Kluyveromyces lactis: one gene and its partners. The protein of the gene in region 1 interacts with the protein of each later gene in a pairwise test. Links are inferred from orthologs where the notes say so. Each region holds a gene or a part of one and is shown in the gene's direction. Other genes may lie near its edges. The genes, in order: PHO85, SSN8 and KLLA0_C08305g.

Evidence for each region.
Region 2: the proteins of PHO85 (region 1) and SSN8 interact in a two-hybrid assay, tested with the Saccharomyces cerevisiae proteins (2 studies listed by BioGRID). The link is inferred for Kluyveromyces lactis from reciprocal best matches to the Saccharomyces cerevisiae genes PHO85 and SSN8.
Region 3: the proteins of PHO85 (region 1) and KLLA0_C08305g interact in binary tests that used the Saccharomyces cerevisiae proteins (3 or more experiments, as listed by UniProt). The link is inferred for Kluyveromyces lactis from reciprocal best matches to the Saccharomyces cerevisiae genes PHO85 and PCL6.

Annotation. Positions count from the first base shown.
Region 1 is NC_006040.1:1,022,221-1,025,040, reverse strand, and holds PHO85 (cyclin-dependent serine/threonine-protein kinase PHO85), read left to right. Parts: upstream 1-1,096; coding exon 1,097-1,113; intron 1,114-1,248; coding exon 1,249-2,146; downstream 2,147-2,820. Other genes in the region: TRM44 (tRNA (uracil) methyltransferase), read right to left, coding at 1-451; KLLA0_D11968g (uncharacterized protein), read right to left, coding at 2,259-2,820.
Region 2 is NC_006041.1:737,241-739,562, reverse strand, and holds SSN8 (cyclin-dependent protein serine/threonine kinase regulator SSN8), read left to right. Parts: upstream 1-837; coding exon 838-1,752; downstream 1,753-2,322. UniProt on the Saccharomyces cerevisiae protein: Component of the SRB8-11 complex. The SRB8-11 complex is a regulatory module of the Mediator complex which is itself involved in regulation of basal and activated RNA polymerase II-dependent transcription.
Region 3 is NC_006039.1:728,325-731,138, reverse strand, and holds KLLA0_C08305g (PHO85 cyclin family protein), read left to right. Parts: upstream 1-913; coding exon 914-2,143; downstream 2,144-2,814. Other genes in the region: PET117 (Pet117p), read left to right, coding at 1-255. UniProt on the Saccharomyces cerevisiae protein: Cyclin partner of the cyclin-dependent kinase (CDK) PHO85. Together with cyclin PCL7, controls glycogen phosphorylase and glycogen synthase activities in response to nutrient availablility.

The DNA of each region.
Region 1 (2,820 bases):
TGTAAATTACTAAAGAGGTTGAAGCATCTGAGTTGGAATTCATAACCAAACACGTCTGATTAATGATAGCATCCTTGAATGGATTCCTCGGAACAATCCTCCTAACAAATTGGAACTTTGTGGTAACATCAGCCAACGCTATCGGTACAGATCTCGGTGCTAGATCATCGATGTTTACTTTCAATATACCCTCATCGCTTCCCAACGCGATGTCTTTCTTCTCTGATTTCACACATGAACCAGACTCTAAGTCGTATTCATTGTCTATAAGCATATCTGCACGTAGAATAACAGTCGAGTTTACATTAGGCTGCCTTATCACATTTAGCATAGCTTGTTCGAAATGTGATTTATCGAAGTCGACAGGTTCCGCTGTCGAATATAAAGATTGCCATTCTGGTCCCAAAATACTGGATTTCTCCACGGTATAATGAAGCGTATTCGAGGTCATATCAAACTTACGTCAACTCTACCTGTGCACAGTCTATATGGTTCTCTATATCCTGGTATTCCATCGAGTTCTTCGAGTCTGCGTTGAAACTGCTTATTAGTTGATGAATCGATGCCCTCTTTAAATTTTTCACTTCGAACGTTACTCATGCTCTAAAGGCACCAGGAATTCGAAGCAACATACAAGATATCTTCCTGCCTTTAGCCATATAACCACTTGGAAGTTGTTCAACATGAATATTATTATTTACTACTGTAAATGAATGGATAAGATTTCCAGGTATTAAAGCGTAATTGTGTATTTACTCCTGTCTAATATTAGAAGATCTTCAAGTAGACTTTTGTCACTGGCATTATAATTAGCAAGTACAGGGGAAAGAAGAGTTTTGAAATGGTACGCATATATAATTAGGTAGTAAACTATCTGAGATGGACGCCACAACTGCCAAACCTCAAATATTTCTGTCCTCTTCTAAGTTACTTCCTTCTGTATCCACTATTTTATTCTAGATAACACCATTCTTAAATATTTGAAGATTTCAATTCCTATTTGAATCATTATCTCTTGAACAGATGTAAAAAGAGGATCCGATAATGGTTATATAGCTCTCAGGACCATTCCAAGGATCATCAATAAACATAAACTATGGTGGCACCATCTCAGTATGCAGTTTTGTGAATATTTGATACTGGCAGCGAGGAGTACAAAGCAGATGAGTACTTCTCCTTACCACTATAACTCTGACTTTTATACTAACGCAGCAATCGTTTGTCCCCTCTACTACGCTATGAAACCAGATTCAAGCAACTTGAAAAGGTTGGTAACGGTACGTATGCTACCGTGTACAAAGGATTGAATAAGACGACTGGTGTATACGTTGCTTTGAAAGAAGTGAAATTGGATAGCGAAGAAGGAACTCCGTCAACGGCCATTAGGGAGATATCGTTGATGAAAGAGTTGAAACATGATAACATCGTGAGGCTATTCGATGTGATTCATACTGAGAATAAGTTGACGTTGGTGTTTGAATTCATGGATAATGACCTTAAGAAGTTCATGGACAATAGAAACAAGGGAAATTCTCATAAGGGCTTAGAGATGGATTTGGTGAAATATTTCCAATGGCAGTTGTTACAAGGTGTAGCGTTTTGCCATGAGAACAGGATCTTGCATCGTGATTTGAAACCTCAGAACTTGTTGATCAATAACAGAGGTCAATTGAAACTTGGTGATTTTGGGTTGGCTCGTGCATTTGGTATCCCAGTTAACACTTTCAGCAGTGAAGTGGTGACTCTTTGGTATAGGGCTCCTGATGTGTTGATGGGGTCAAGAAACTATTGCACTTCAATCGATATTTGGTCATGCGGATGTATCTTGGCTGAAATGATTATGGGGAAACCGTTATTCCCTGGTTCCAACGATGAGGAACAGTTGAAACTCATATTCGATACGATGGGTACTCCAGTGGAGCAGACATGGCCGCAAGTGACTCAATTGGCTAAATACAATCCACTTTTGCCTCCACATATGCCTCGTGATTTGAAACAGCTATTACAAAACAATACGGAGGAAGTGTTGGACGATAATGTAGTGGATCTATTGCATGGTCTATTGCAACTGAACCCAGATGCAAGACTTTCTGCAAAGGATGCCTTGAACCACCCATGGTTTGCAGAATATAACCATGCCAACTAACGATTTTAGATTTAGATAGCCTTGCTCATCTAAAGATACAAACAAACAAATAAATAAATAAATAAGTGTATAGTAATCTGTAACCATTCCTTTTACTTTTTATATTACGGATTTATTGAATTACGTTGATGCTAGGCTGTCCTCCATATTCCATAATAAGTTTCATAACATGTTTGTCCTTAACGTCGACCAAGGTTTCCCATAAGACGTCCTGAGACAATAACAATGGTCTTGTTTCTTCCAACTTGTAGAATTTATTGATGAATTTGTTCAGGACACGTATTCTCCTTCTACTAAACGCCTCTTCGTCAGTATAATCGTCTACTAATAGCAACTCATGTAACTGCTGACCAGCAGGAGTCAAATATATGTTGTTGATTAGTTCGATTAAGGGTCCATTATTATCCAAGGATTTAGAAGGTAACACCGATGAGATGTGAGTTACCAAGATAATGGCATGGAATAAATGGTTGATGTTATATTGACCTTGGTTAGTATGGAAAAACCAATGCATTAAGGTTTCTATGAGGAAATAAGGCTGCTTCACCTCGTAGTGGACGGATAGTTCAAGTATCAACTGGTTGTAAACTGGTTTCTTTAGTTGAATATCGTTTTGGAAAAAAAATTCTACCTCCGAGTAAAATATTGATGGATAATCCTGTTTCTGCAATTCC
Region 2 (2,322 bases), on another chromosome or scaffold:
TATTTGACTATGCGTAAGTATCGAAAAGTTCAAAATAAATTTGAAACGAATCCACTTCAAGCTGTTTGATGATTGAAAAAAGGATGGAGAGTTTCGTGAGCCGAGAAAGTAAGCTCCATTGGGTTACCCAAGCTACCTCCTCCCTAATCACCCCTGTAAACAGAAGTAACAAAAAAAGAGATAAAAACGCTCGGGCAATCGTCATAACTTTCGTTTAAAGTAAAGAAATACTTCAGTACCCAAGACACAGAGGCTTCTAAAACAGCCTCTGGATAGAAACCGTGACAGAAAACCAACACGATTAATGAGTTGATTTAAACATTTGAAAAGTTTTTAAATCTCATTACGTTTCCGCTTACGGACTGGTCGGAGACTTTCTACCCAAAGCTATAGAAATGATATCATTTCAATTGAACAGATAAAATCCGTTCCTTATGTAAGCTTCGATCAGTGACGATTCTTCGACTACAAAACCCTCGACTTACGAAACAAACAACAACAAAAGACAACACTAGAAAACATTTAATTAAAAGTAAGTGTTTGAAGTGCTGATGTTTGGTTCATATAGTTGAATGTTTAACTTTTTTCCAAAAAATTTTCAAAAAGGTTACCCGACTTCTTAACGACCTGAAATTTAGGGCTGCAACGGTCAGCTTATCATAATGTACTTGATGATGAATTGAAGAATAGCGAACGGTAAGGTAGTAAGAACCGAATCGGGTTAGGTACTTTGAACAAAGGATTCCGACAACAAAAGGCAGTACAAATTTCACTGGAGGATAAAAAATACCTTTCCCCCCCTTATTCATTGAACAGCTAGAAGATTATCTTTCCAAAATGAGCGCCTCATACTGGGATTCGAGTCAGAGGCACAAGTGGAAGTATACTAGGGAATCCTTGGCTAAGGAGAAGCAGAAACTCTGGCTGTTGGAATGCCAATTATTCCCACAAGGTTTGAATGTTACGATTCACGATTCGAAGGCGAACAAGCAGGTGACGACAAACATTCCGGTTACACAGCGAGATCTGCATTATGATCGAGACTACAATTTGAGGATATACTGCTATTTCCTTATAATGAAGTTGGGCAGGAGGCTCAATATACGGCAGTGTGCACTTGTTACAGCACATGTTTATTTGAGCCGATTTTTGCTTCGAGCTAGTGTCAGGGAAGTGAACCTGTATCTTTTAATCACCACCTGCATCTATTTGGCTTGCAAAGTGGAAGAATGTCCGCAGCATATAAGAACGCTAGTCAACGAGGCGAGGTCTCTATGGCCAGAGTTTATTCCACCGGATGTGACAAAAGTGACCGAGTTTGAGTTTTATTTAATCGAGGAATTGCAATCATATTTGATTGTACACCATCCGTACCGGTCTCTAGAACAGATCGAGAAGGCATTATCATCCGAAAAGTACAACTATAAACTCTCAGACGATGAGCTTCAGAAAATATGGTCGTTGATTAACGATAGTTATACGACCGATGTCCATTTACTCTATTCACCGCACGTGATCGCCATAAGTTGTCTATTTGCAGTGTCTTGCATCATTCACAAGCCAGAGGACAGTACAAAGCGTGCTAACATCAACATGTTCATCGCTGAAACTCAAGTTAATTTGGAACAAGTGATGTTTATCCTTCAAGAACTCATATCACTATACGACCATTGGGACAAATACAATGAACTGCGGATCAGAGCGCTCCTACACGAGTTATACCTCCGTCAACAAACACCAGCAATTCAGTGATTCTGAAGCCGAAAAGATTTCGTTCAGTTCACACCTGTACATACATAACAAATTACGTAGCATTCAAGATCAACCACGCATCAAGGATATATCGCATAAGAACGAAATGAAATTATATTGGACAACTCACGGAAGAATCACAGAAATGCAGACACTGAGAAATATACACATTGTACGCACAAAAAAAATTTAGTTCGCAATCACAGTCAACTAGAGGACAAGTAGAAGCCTCACTCCAAGAGCTGCATTTGCAACTTCTATTTCTCTTTAACACCAAAAATATCTTTGGCGAAGCGATATCTGCCAAATAATCTAGAGCTATTCATGCGCAGAAAAGAAAAAAAAAAGTGAACGAACGGCAATATGATTTCGAGAGTTAAACATGAAACTCGAAATCAAATCTTAACTAACAATGTTAACGTGTATTTATAAAGAGTAGAAGTAGGAAAAGTGGAAGCACAAGTTCAAAAGAAAGCGAGTCCAAAAGTTTAGTGAAGCAGAAGCAGAGTGTCTGTCATTTCATTATTCTGTGAGGTTCCCGCATTGTATATTAGTTAGGATACCATCTCG
Region 3 (2,814 bases), on another chromosome or scaffold:
GTCGTAGGTGTTCATCACGTACAAGAACTTGAAAGACAGACTTTACATCAGGGACCAATCAAAGATGCGCAAAGAGTAGCAGAGAAAAAACTAGCCAGACAGAATGGCGTAGACCCTGAAAAGGAACGTCAAAGAATGGTAAATAAGAACGAACATGAGTATCAACTCGAATTAAGAAAGAAATACGAACAGATGCAACCTTTGAGCGGGGAGGTTCGAACTAAGGATAACGAACTCATAGAACAGAAGAAGTGATATGTCAACACGAACATGTTGTATATACCATTAACCGTTTCTTGTAAATATGCATATGTAGCGACCCTCAAAACACTATATTATTAGTATTGACCTTATAGGACAACATATTGTGCACGTGATGTTGGTATGTTTTGTATGGGAACTTCTGAAACCGAAAACTACCAAAAATAAAAAAAAAAATAAAAGAGACAGAAGAATATTAGGGACTGCAACAACGTGTAGAAACAAGGCGAGTTACATAAGACGACAGAGCAAAGTGTTATTCGTGCTGTGGTCCATTATTATTACAGTTTTGAAAAGACATCTTGGGAAATTGATACTTAGTGGGAGGCACAACAATTACACAGGATACGATTGTTTTTTTTCCTCTATTTTTCCTCTTTTTTTTTGCGAAACGATTATTTGTTTAGTTGAATAAGGACAAGGGTTTATCTGCAATTTGAAATAAGGAACAGGTACCATTTTCTCAAAAGAAATAGTTTTCAGGGACCTCAGAGTGGAATCTGGCAAGGGCTCAAGAACTCAATAACGAATAAGTCAAACTAACGGTTTACACGCGGCACATTCTGATTTATATCATTCATAGGGATCTTGAAATCAGGTAGCATTGCATGTATCCCACCCCCCCTTCCTTGGATAAATAACATCCAATAATATGTCATACCTGCGTAACACAACTTCATCAAGTTATGCAGAAACGGAGCCTATAGAGATACCAGTTAACAGGACTGAAACGGAACCGTATTCCTCCTCGCTGCAGGGCTCTCAGGTAAATTCGGAGGCAATCACAACATCTACACGACTTATAGACTCATCAAGTTCAAGCATTGACAAATATGGATCTGGTGGACTGACCCCTCAAGATATGAATCATGGTGTTACGAGTTCCTACTTTGATAGCAATTATAACAATAACATCGCGAGCAATAATCATACGGATACCAACTTTAACAAACATGCTGGAATAAGCTCATCATTTATTGACAATACTAGCGGTGTAAGCAGTTCGTTGGACTCAGGGTCTAACCTTCGACATTCAAATTTATCCGGTAATTTTCTTCCCAATGATACTCAATCAAATTCAAATGTACTGATACCTGTTAAGGCTGTATCAGAGTTAAGGATAGACGATGAACAGACAGGAAGTTCATCTACTTCCCAGCCAGACCATCATTCCAATGATGAAACACAACATTCCCTTAATAATAACAATCATCATATGGATATTGCGACATTTCCTACTTATAAATTGTTAGATATGCTTACGGGACTTCTTACGAAGATAATCAAATCAAACGACTCGCTTGGATCCACTCCAAATTTCGAAACATCTCAGGGGAAAAACATACCTCTTATGAGAGAAATACTGAGTTTTAGAGGTAAACAAGTACCAGGAATAACATTGAAACAATACTTTCAAAGAATTCAAAAGTATTGTCCGACGACGAACGATGTGTTACTCTCGCTTTTGGTCCATTTTGATAGAATAGCAAAAAAATGCAATGCCATTGCACAAGAGTACATGGTATCTGTCGTGTCTACACCGGATAAGACGACGGCTTCGCTAGCACATCAGTCATCTCCACAACTTTTCGTGATGGACTCTCATAACATTCACAGGCTTATCATTGCAGCGATAACGGTAAGCACCAAGTTTATCAGTGACTTTTTCTACAGTAATTCAAGATATGCGAGAGTTGGCGGTATCTCGTTGCAAGAATTGAATCATTTAGAACTCCAGTTTTTGATCCTATGTGATTTTAGATTGATAATCAGTGTGGAAGAGCTACAAAGGTACGCAGATTTGTTGTACAAATTCTGGGACAAGGAAAAGCACTTATATCAATCGGTATCACAACCAACCAATTCATCATTAATTGCATGAGAATAATGCTTAACGTATCGGATTTCCCCATTAATATTGTAGAATTAATAACGTTTGCAGTTAGAATATTGTCTATCTATATGTATAATCATATTGAATCTGATCTTTTGAGTTTTAAGGTAAAAAAAAAAAAAAAGAAAGTGGCTATAACGTGTGTCAGCAATATGCCGTTAAATTTCGCTACACGACATTGCACCTCTCCTCAGTATTTTTTTTTTGATCTGAAGGTTACAAAATCTTGACTTTCTTCATAGACTCACTGCAAAAGACGCTTTCTTTACTATTACTGAACGACCACAAAAAGAGCCTAAAAAGTCGAAACGAAGGTTATGGGCTGTCACAAAAAGAAAAAAGACTGCTTGCAGAAGCGAAAGGAAAAAACAAAATGGAACCTTCAGTCGGCAATTCCGGTAGAGCCGGGACGGCATTACCGGCCTAATTTTGCCGGAAAAGAAAATGCTCCAATATCTACGGGAGTATCTGTGTAAATTCATCAGTAATTCAATTAATTTAGCTGAAATACAACTGCTGGTAAAGATCCAAGTCAAAAGAGTCTGGATACTGGCTAATTGAGTGCTGTTTGGCACACCCAATAATTACAACTAATTGGGCTTCAATTAGCTGTTGTTTCAATCAACTTTCTAGTATTAAGCCATTTCTCCTACAATTAT